Mus musculus: one gene and its partner. The protein of the gene in region 1 purifies or fractionates together with the protein of each later gene. This does not show direct contact. Links are inferred from orthologs where the notes say so. Each region holds a gene or a part of one and is shown in the gene's direction. Other genes may lie near its edges.

Region 1 (4,561 bases):
AACTAGGCCCCTAGCACAGGTATACTAGATCAAAATATTTAGACTATGCCTCTTCCTGTCTTTGAGAGTGGTGGTGGTCATTATCTTTAAAAAAAACATGGCGGGGCAGTGGTGCCACACGCCTTTAATCCCAGCACTTGGGAGGCAGAGGCAGGTGGATTTCTGAGTTCGAGGCCAGCCTGGTCTACAAAGTGAGTTCCAGGACAGCCAGGGCTACACAGAGAAACCCTGTCTCGAAAAAAAACAAAAAATAAAAATAAAAACGTGATTTCCCTATGTGTAGCTAGAACCAGAGATAATCCAGAGCCCATTCGCTGAGAGCTGTCATTACAGACCTAGCCACCAAGTCAGGTCTTTCTGTAATACCTTTATATACAGGCGGGGTTGGGAATCCATGCTCCACAGCTACATCTACAAACGAGCATTTATGACAGCTAGTGCGTGAAACCTTGGGGTAACAGGGAAGGTTTAGTATTAGCAAAAATTCTCCAGCCCTTTTGATTAGAGATGGAAAGAGATTTCTGCAAATGGCTTAGATCACAAAATAGCGAATGGAAGGCATTAATTCCGCTTTCTTTATCGTACTGTGGTGGTGGTGGTGGTAAGAGCCAAGAGTTGTATCATGACAAACTGTACGCAACAAGGTGTAGAGAATGAATCCAATACAGTGGGAAAATGAAGATACACTTCAAACCTCAAGAGAACTAGATTTTTTCGTGGCAAAACGTACTTGAAACGTGTCTGGTGTGAAGTAGGTGTTATATTAATAACGGGGCCACTAGAAACTTTAGGGCTCCATTGTTGCTATAATTCTCTCACTTAAACCAGGCGGGAGGTCTAGGCTAACGTGGAAAGGCTTAGTTGGTACTAAAGGGAGGGCTTGTAAGGCTGCAGGAAGACGAGGACAATCCCAACTCATTTCCTTTCAAAAGCCCCGAGGACTTAAAATTCAGCTCTCCCGGCCCCAGACTAAGGAAGCAGCGCCGCGAGGGAAGTTTGGCCGGCCGGGCGTGGGCGGCCAACCGGAGGGAGGAGCAGTCCCGGGGAGAGGCAGAGAAGGCCCCGGAGCCACGCGGCTCAGGAAACCACCCCCGCGAGTGGCTAGGCTGGCACTCCGGCTCCGCCTCCGCCTCCGCCGGTTCGCCAGCCTGAAAGGCAGTGTCGCTTCCGCACACCGCCCAGCGGCCCGTGCTTGCAGCCCCAAAGCCCGGCTTCTCAATCGGTGCGTTCCCTAACACCGCCCCAGACAGACCACAGAACGGGAAGCACCGCGAGAAGGAAAAAAAAGATCCCGAGTCCGCGCCGGAGGCGCACGCGCCTGCGCAGACATCCGCTCCGCCCTCTCTGCTTCTCGCCTCGCGCGCCTTCCTCCCGCCCCGTTCCCCGGGCGCCCGGCTACGTCACAAAGAGTGGCGTGTAAATGGAACAATCTAGTTGCTCCCCTCGAGAGCACGCCCCGCAAGAGGAGGGCGGGGCGGAGGGAGGGACGGAAGGAGCCGGCTTCGAAGACTGGCTCGTTCTCGTCATCCAATCCGAACGGTCTGGGGCGAGGCGGGGCGGGGCCCATGAAGAGGGCGGGGGTGGGGCCGAGGGAAACGAGCGAGAAGGCTGCGGGACGAGAGGGCGGGCTCCTCCCGGAGATTAAAAGCAGCCAATCAGAGCGCGCCGGCTTCATTCGGAGAGCGGCGTGGGGCGTCGCCGCCGCCGCCGCGCGCGCCGGGGGCTGGTTAAGGCCATGAAACAAAAGAAACCCTGAGAGGGGAGCCGCTGCCGTCCCCACCCACCCACCTAGTTCCCTACCTCGGCTCCGTTCCCGGCCCCTCCACCCCGCCCTCGCGCGCTCCGGCGGCCCTGGCGCTCCTCAGCCCGGGGCGCGGGCGCCGCCGCCTCCCCCGAGGAAAGGTGTTTGCGCGCTGAGCAGGGCCGGGGCCCTGTCCGCCATGGGGCCGGCTGCTCGCCGCGCCTGACGCTCCCGCCGCCGCCGCCGCCGCCATTGACAGCGCGCCGCCGCGATGCCAAGCGGCAGCTCCGCGGCCCTGGCCCTGGCCCTGGCGGCGGCCCCGGCCCCCCTGCCGCAGCCGCCTCCGCTGCCGCCGCCGCCGCCCGCGGGAGGCCCAGAGCTCGAAGGGGACGGGCTGCTGCTGAGGGAGCGCCTGGCCGCGCTAGGCCTCGACGACCCCAGCCCGGCGGAGCCCGGCGCCCCGGCGCTCAGGGCCGCGGCGGTGGCGGCGGCGGCGGCGGCGCAGTGCCAGGCCCGGCGGGCGACCGGGCTGGCTCCGGAGGAGCCTGGCCGCCTCGCGACCTCCGAGACGGCGGAGCTGGAGCTGGAGGTGGACGAAGAGGAGGGGGAGGAAGCGGAGCTGGACGGAGAACTGCTGGAGGAGGAGGAGCTGGAGGAGGCAGAGGAGGAGGACCGGCCGTCGCTGCTGCTGTTGTCGCCGCCCGCGGCCACCGCCTCCCAGACTCAGCCGATCCCGGGCGGGCCCCTGGGGTCGGTGCTGCTGCCGGCCGCGGGCTTCGATGCCCGGGAGGCCGCGGCGGCAGGGGTGCTGTACGGAGGGGACGATGCCCAGGGCATGATGGCGGCGATGCTGTCCCACGCCTACGGCCCCGGCGGCGGCGGGGCCGCCGCTGCCGCCCTGAACGGAGAGCAAGCGGCCCTGCTGAGAAGGAAGAGCGTCAACACCACCGAGTGCGTCCCCGTGCCCAGTTCCGAGCATGTCGCTGAGATTGTCGGACGCCAGGGTGAGTGCACGGAGGTCGGTCGGTCTGTCTGTCTGGGCACGGCCCTGGGCGTGGGTGGGAGACGGAAAAGAAAGACGAGCGTGCGACAGAAGAGTGAACCGAGAGAGTCCCCCAAGTCCACCGAGAAGGGGTCTGGGTCGCCGAGAAAGGGACCGGTCACCTTGCGAAAACCCACGCCGTTCCGCCTCTTCAGCCGGACAAGAAGTGTTAAGTTTCTTGGGCCACCCAGTCTGGTGTATTCGTGGAACCCCAGGCTGGCGCGGCCCCAGAAACCTCAGTGAGATGGTGAGGTCAGGTCAGAAGTTGTGGGTCACGGAATAGTTTCCGAGAGCTTCGAGATTTGGAAGTTTGTGTAGCCGAGTGGCCGGTAAAAAGCAATCGGCCTGCCTTAGAGCTGCTTGTGCTGAGAAGTGGACCGACATGGAGGCATGGGCAGCATTTGAGAGGGAAGAGATGTTCAAGTGGCCGGATCACCTCCTCCCTCCGCTATTCAGAAACTTGGCTTTAGAAGCGCACCCCAACTCTGTTGATCTTAGGTGCTCAGTGTTCTCATTTCTCTTTTCAAAAAGCGCTAGTGTCAGTCTTTTAGAACACTTTAGCCTGTACCGTGAAGGGAAAACTGGGCATTTGGGTAATTAAGGAACTTTATGCGTTAGTGCAGTTTTCGATAAATTTTCTTCACTTGCTAGCACACCCGTTCCCCAGACAGACTCCTCCCACATTGTTCAGACAAAGGACCTATGTCTCAGATTCCAGGAGTAGGTTTGTGAAGGTGGGGGAAGGGGATGCACAGAGTACCTTGGTATCCGACATTTTTAGGGAAGGTTCTGTTTGCTTCGGTGTAGGTTTTGCCCCGTTTTACTACCTGCTGCTGCTGATGCTGTAATACAACATGGTTGAAACTTGCCTCTTGTTGAGGTCAAATATGGCACTGCTGGTGGAATGATCTCATTTTCCCAAGTGGTCTAAAGTACACATAAATAAGAGATTGGTGACCTCACATGTAAGAGGTGGCTCTCGTTGCTAGGATTTTGATTAAAAAAAAAAAGCCTATATGGTACCTAGAAAGAAAGAAAGAAAGAGCTTGTTTCAAACTGTTTGACTAATCAGTTTCACATCTCACTTGCCAGTAGGAGCTGATCAGGATAATAGCTCATGAGGAAATTTTTATGTACATGAAATAAAAATGCATTTTATTTATAGGTCCATAATGAGGTGGCTTTTCATTTAATATCATTGAAAGAGTGCTTGATTTTGCTGGTTAATGAGTTTATGAAAAGTAAGTAAACTAAAAATTTGAGGTTGATTTATACAGAATTTCTGCTCTTTATTAAAAACTAACCATTTAATAGAATGGCACGAAAGTAATTACTTGAAGGCAATACACACAAGAACATACATAGAGAATGCAACTTAGCAAACAAAGATACAAGTATTGAACAACATGAAGAAAGTGTGGAGGAGACCTGCTAGGTGGTGACTGGAAAATACCCAAATTTCATTACTAATTAGAATATGGTAAACTGGAGGGGGGGGGAAATGGCCTGGTACGGGATTGTTGAGGCTGTGGAATGTAGAGATTTGAATGGCATAGTGGGAAAACAGCAGAACTTAATTCAGTGTTCATGTGCTTGTGTGCAAAGCACAAGAGAAGAAAGAACGTTTGCTCCGTAGTTTTACCACGTGACAAGGTGCTGTCTGTATGTTGGTAGATTGAGTTTAACATGAACTTTTGTCCTTTGCATTCTTAAGCACCTTAACTGTACATGGGTAGTATTTATATAAACTGAAATGGCAAGCTTTTATTTTGTGCTAT
Region 2 (3,801 bases), on another chromosome or scaffold:
TGTGGTTCAGGGGCTGGTGTCAGTGCGGTCTGCAGCATGGTTGCTGTGGTAAGGTGCTGACAGCTCCCCTGCCTGCTCTTCTTCCTCCTGTTTGTCTACACATCCCTCCTTTGCCTCCCACCACCTCCACCCTTGTCCCCAGAGCGCCGCCCCGAGCCTTCTGTGTGCCTGGCTCTCTATGTCTGAGTCAGACCTTAGGGCCGCCCTGTCCTGCTGAGAGGGAGTGTGACGGGGACGGTGACTCAGTCATAGACTGCCAACAAGGGCTGTGTGTCAGCATCATGGGCACCTCGCGGAGGTCCTAGTCCAGTTTGGGAGACAGGAGAGCTCCTGGGGATGGCAATCCAAATGGAGACTCAGAATGAAAAAAATGAAAGTGCTGTCCGGGAGGCCATAAGTGTCTCAGTCCTCGGGGAGAAGGAACACCTATGCCTACCATTCAAGCCCCTAGTTACCACACATCTGAATGCATTAGGTGCCAGGCCCAACAGGGTACAGAGATGAGGTCACTGTCAGCCGCTGGCAGGCTTCCTGGAGAAGGTTGTTGGGTTTTTTGTTTGTTTGTTTGTCTGAAACAGGATTTCTTTGTATAGTCCTGGCTATCTTGGAACTTGCTCTGTAGATCAGGCTGGCCTCAAACATATAGAGATCTGCCTGCTTCTGCCTCTGGTGTTCTGGAATTAAAGGCTTTTGCCACTACTGCCCAGCTTGCAGAGGATTTTCGAGGTGGAGTCAGAGGGTACCCTGAGGAGTGATTTTCATTCGATCTTCTGACCAGGGATGGAGGAAGGATGAGACCCAGCTTCGTCACTTCAGTAGTTCCTCTGTGCTGAGAATGCAGGAACCATGGTGGTTCAGGCTGTAAGAGGTAGAGCCCAGCAGTAAGAGAGGCTGTAGCCTGCCCTAGAGACTGTCACACAGGGAACTAGCAGAGACTTCTGCTCCACTGTTACCAGCATAGCTTGGAAAAGCGAGTGAGGTGGTGGGCACAGTGCACACATTCAGGAGGCTGAAGCAGGAGGCTCTTGACTGAGGCCGTCAGGCTTAGTTCTGGTCCCACCCTCAGGCCACCCTATATTCAGGCCTTGGCTTCCCCTTTCTTGTCAAACCTGACTCCCGTGGTGTCCTGTCGTAACCGTGTGTCCTTCAGGGGACAGGCCCCTCTGCTGCTTCTGTCTACCCGCCCATCACTCTTTCCTCCTGCAGATCGTCTCCTCAGCCTCCACTGACCTCCAGGACTACACTTACTACTTCGTTCCTGCACCCTGGCTCTCTGTGAAGCTACTGCGGCTGCTCCAGTGTTACCCACCACCAGGTAAGGCCCATGGACTGCCAGCATCCATGTTCCCACTTGTCCTAAGCGAGGCTGTGCCTCCAGACTCGTGGAAAGCTATGGGTGAGAGTGGGGGGCACAGCCTGGTGCCCTGCCCCATGCAGCACCTGGGGTGGCACAACTCGTCCTGTCTTAGGCCCGTAGCTCTCGGTCCTGTGGAGTGAGCTGGTTAGTGTGCTGCTTTCCAGCAGAGGGCCGTTGTCTCACTCTGCCTAGCAGCTGTCCTGTGCAGCTGGGCTCTGCCTAGTATCCCTCCCCTGCAGCAGTGAGGCACTCTGGGGACTCCAATCAGCTTTATTTCTGTTAAACTCATAACCCCTGGCACCCAAACAGTGTGCAGTGGCCTTCGCGGGTGGTAGCTCAGAGTCCGTCTCTTGAGCTCTATGGTAGCTCCTTGGGAAAAGCTTGAGTGCCGTGTGGCTCTGGGATAGGCTCCTGGGTTTTCCATCCTTCTGTGAGAAACCTAAGGAACATCAGTGCAGCAGAAGGGGAAACTGAGGCTCACAGGAGTGGAGACTCATGCCAAGCAGAGTCAGTATGGAATGAGTAGGAGCCCAGACCTAGAAATTGCTGATCTACATTAAAAGGCAGAGGCCCAGCCTGGGACTGCCAGGCTTGAAGACAGCTGGGCCCCTCCATGGACGGTGAGAGCTAGAGCAGGCTGCAGTCTTTGGAGCCCACCGAACAGAGGGCTCAGCCTCTTTCCCTCTCTCTCCCCCAGAGGATGCAGCCGTGAAAGGGCGGTTAGTGGAGTGTCTGGAGACTGTGCTCAACAAGGCCCAGGAGCCTCCCAAGTCCAAGAAGGTGCAGCACTCCAACGCCAAGAACGCTATCCTCTTTGAGACCATTAGCCTCATCATCCACTATGACAGGTGCTGTGGGCAGAGGTGTGGGCAGGCGGGGCCACTGGCCTGTGGAAGGGAGGCTGGCATCTAACACCTGGGGCTGAGGGACAGCAGGGCCTGGGCAGAGGACAGGTGTGAAATGGTCCCCTGCGGTGGCTGCAGAACAGCTGGCTGCTTAGCTTGTTAGTTTAATCCTGCCTACCGAGGATTGAAGTCAGGGCTGGTTTCCACTGGCCGTATCCCCACTCTAGTGCTTCCCTCTATCTGGGCTCCTGAGGGTTCCTAGGAGGGACCCAGTAGGATGCTGGGTGGGCAGAAGTGAGAAACTGGATCCTTAGACTCACATCTTGTCTCCATGTACACTTCACTTGTGCCTGCCAGTGAGCCCAACCTCCTGGTCCGCGCCTGCAACCAGCTGGGCCAGTTCCTGCAGCACCGGGAGACTAACCTGCGCTACCTGGCCCTGGAGAGCATGTGCACGCTGGCCAGCTCCGAGTTCTCCCACGAGGCCGTCAAGACCCACATTGATACAGTTATTAATGCCCTCAAGGTACAGCCCTCTGCCCCACTCAGAGAGGCCTGGTGCTTGATGGCCTACAGTGGGCCCAGTACCAGCTTAGATCCCAGCTTACTCCTGCTCTCCTTTCCTCAGACGGAGCGGGACGTCAGTGTGAGGCAGCGGGCGGCTGATCTCCTGTATGCCATGTGTGACCGGAGCAATGCCAAGCAGATTGTGTCAGAGATGCTGCGGTACCTGGAGACTGCTGACTATGCCATCCGAGAGGAGATCGTGAGTCTAGAGGACAGGGCTGGACACCTGAGTGTGAGGGAGGAGGGCTGGGGTCTGGCCCCTTAGGTTGAAGGAGGAGTCTGGGGAGGGAGAGCCCCCCTGGGTGTTACGATGGGGCCAGCCATGATCATAGATCCAGGACTGGCAGTAGTCACCCTCCCGTGGGCATGATTGTCCTCACACATCGCCACCTCCCATCGCAGGTGCTGAAGGTGGCCATCCTGGCTGAGAAGTATGCAGTGGACTACAGCTGGTACGTGGACACCATCCTCAACCTCATCCGCATCGCGGGCGACTATGTGAGCGAGGAGGTGTGGTACCGCGTGCTGCAGATCGTCACCAACCGTGATGACGTCCAGGGTTATGCTGCCAAGACAGTGTTTGAGGTTAGCAGCCTTCGCGTTGACCCCGTAATGGAGCGCGGCTGCCAGTCAGGAGCAGCTGGGCAGTCGTCTGCCCCTCCAGCAGGTGCCAGCTTCCTGCTCAGCCAGCCTTGGCTGAGTCACCCTAGGACGTGGGAGCTGCAGCCATGGTACCTTCCCAGGGGGCGTGAAGCAGACACAGCATCTGTGCAGGAGAGCTGGCCCCTTCATTCCTCCCTGTGCACTGCTCCACAGGCTCAGGGGTTGCAGTCAGTCGTGACAGGGAGTGGATGGCTGCAGGGATGTGTGGTAGAGTGCCCGCTGGGCTAGGGCAAGAGTCTGGGTTTCAGTCCCTGCACTCATGCAGAAGCTGTGTGTGTGCGTGTGTGCGTGTGCGCGTGTGCGTGTGTGCGTGTGTGCGCGTGTGTGTAACTCCAGCACTGTGGGCCAGAGATAGGCAGGTTCTGGGAG

Evidence for each region.
Region 2: the proteins of Mex3c (region 1) and Ap2a1 purify together in Homo sapiens (affinity purification with mass spectrometry; 3 studies listed by BioGRID, with this or other methods). This does not show direct contact. The link is inferred for Mus musculus from reciprocal best matches to the Homo sapiens genes MEX3C and AP2A1.

The regions. Positions count from the first base shown.
Region 1 is NC_000084.6:73,571,032-73,575,592, forward strand, and holds the start of Mex3c (RNA-binding E3 ubiquitin-protein ligase MEX3C), read left to right. Parts: upstream 1-1,673; 5' UTR 1,674-2,012; coding exon 2,013-2,745; intron 2,746-4,561. UniProt on the Homo sapiens protein: E3 ubiquitin ligase responsible for the post-transcriptional regulation of common HLA-A allotypes. Binds to the 3' UTR of HLA-A2 mRNA, and regulates its levels by promoting mRNA decay.
Region 2 is NC_000073.6:44,905,238-44,909,038, reverse strand, and holds part of Ap2a1 (AP-2 complex subunit alpha-1), read left to right. Parts: intron 1-1,206; coding exon 1,207-1,315; intron 1,316-1,609; exon of another isoform or gene 1,610-1,796; intron 1,797-2,054; coding exon 2,055-2,205; intron 2,206-2,559; coding exon 2,560-2,728; intron 2,729-2,810; exon of another isoform or gene 2,811-2,830; coding exon 2,831-2,968; intron 2,969-3,171; coding exon 3,172-3,354; intron 3,355-3,801.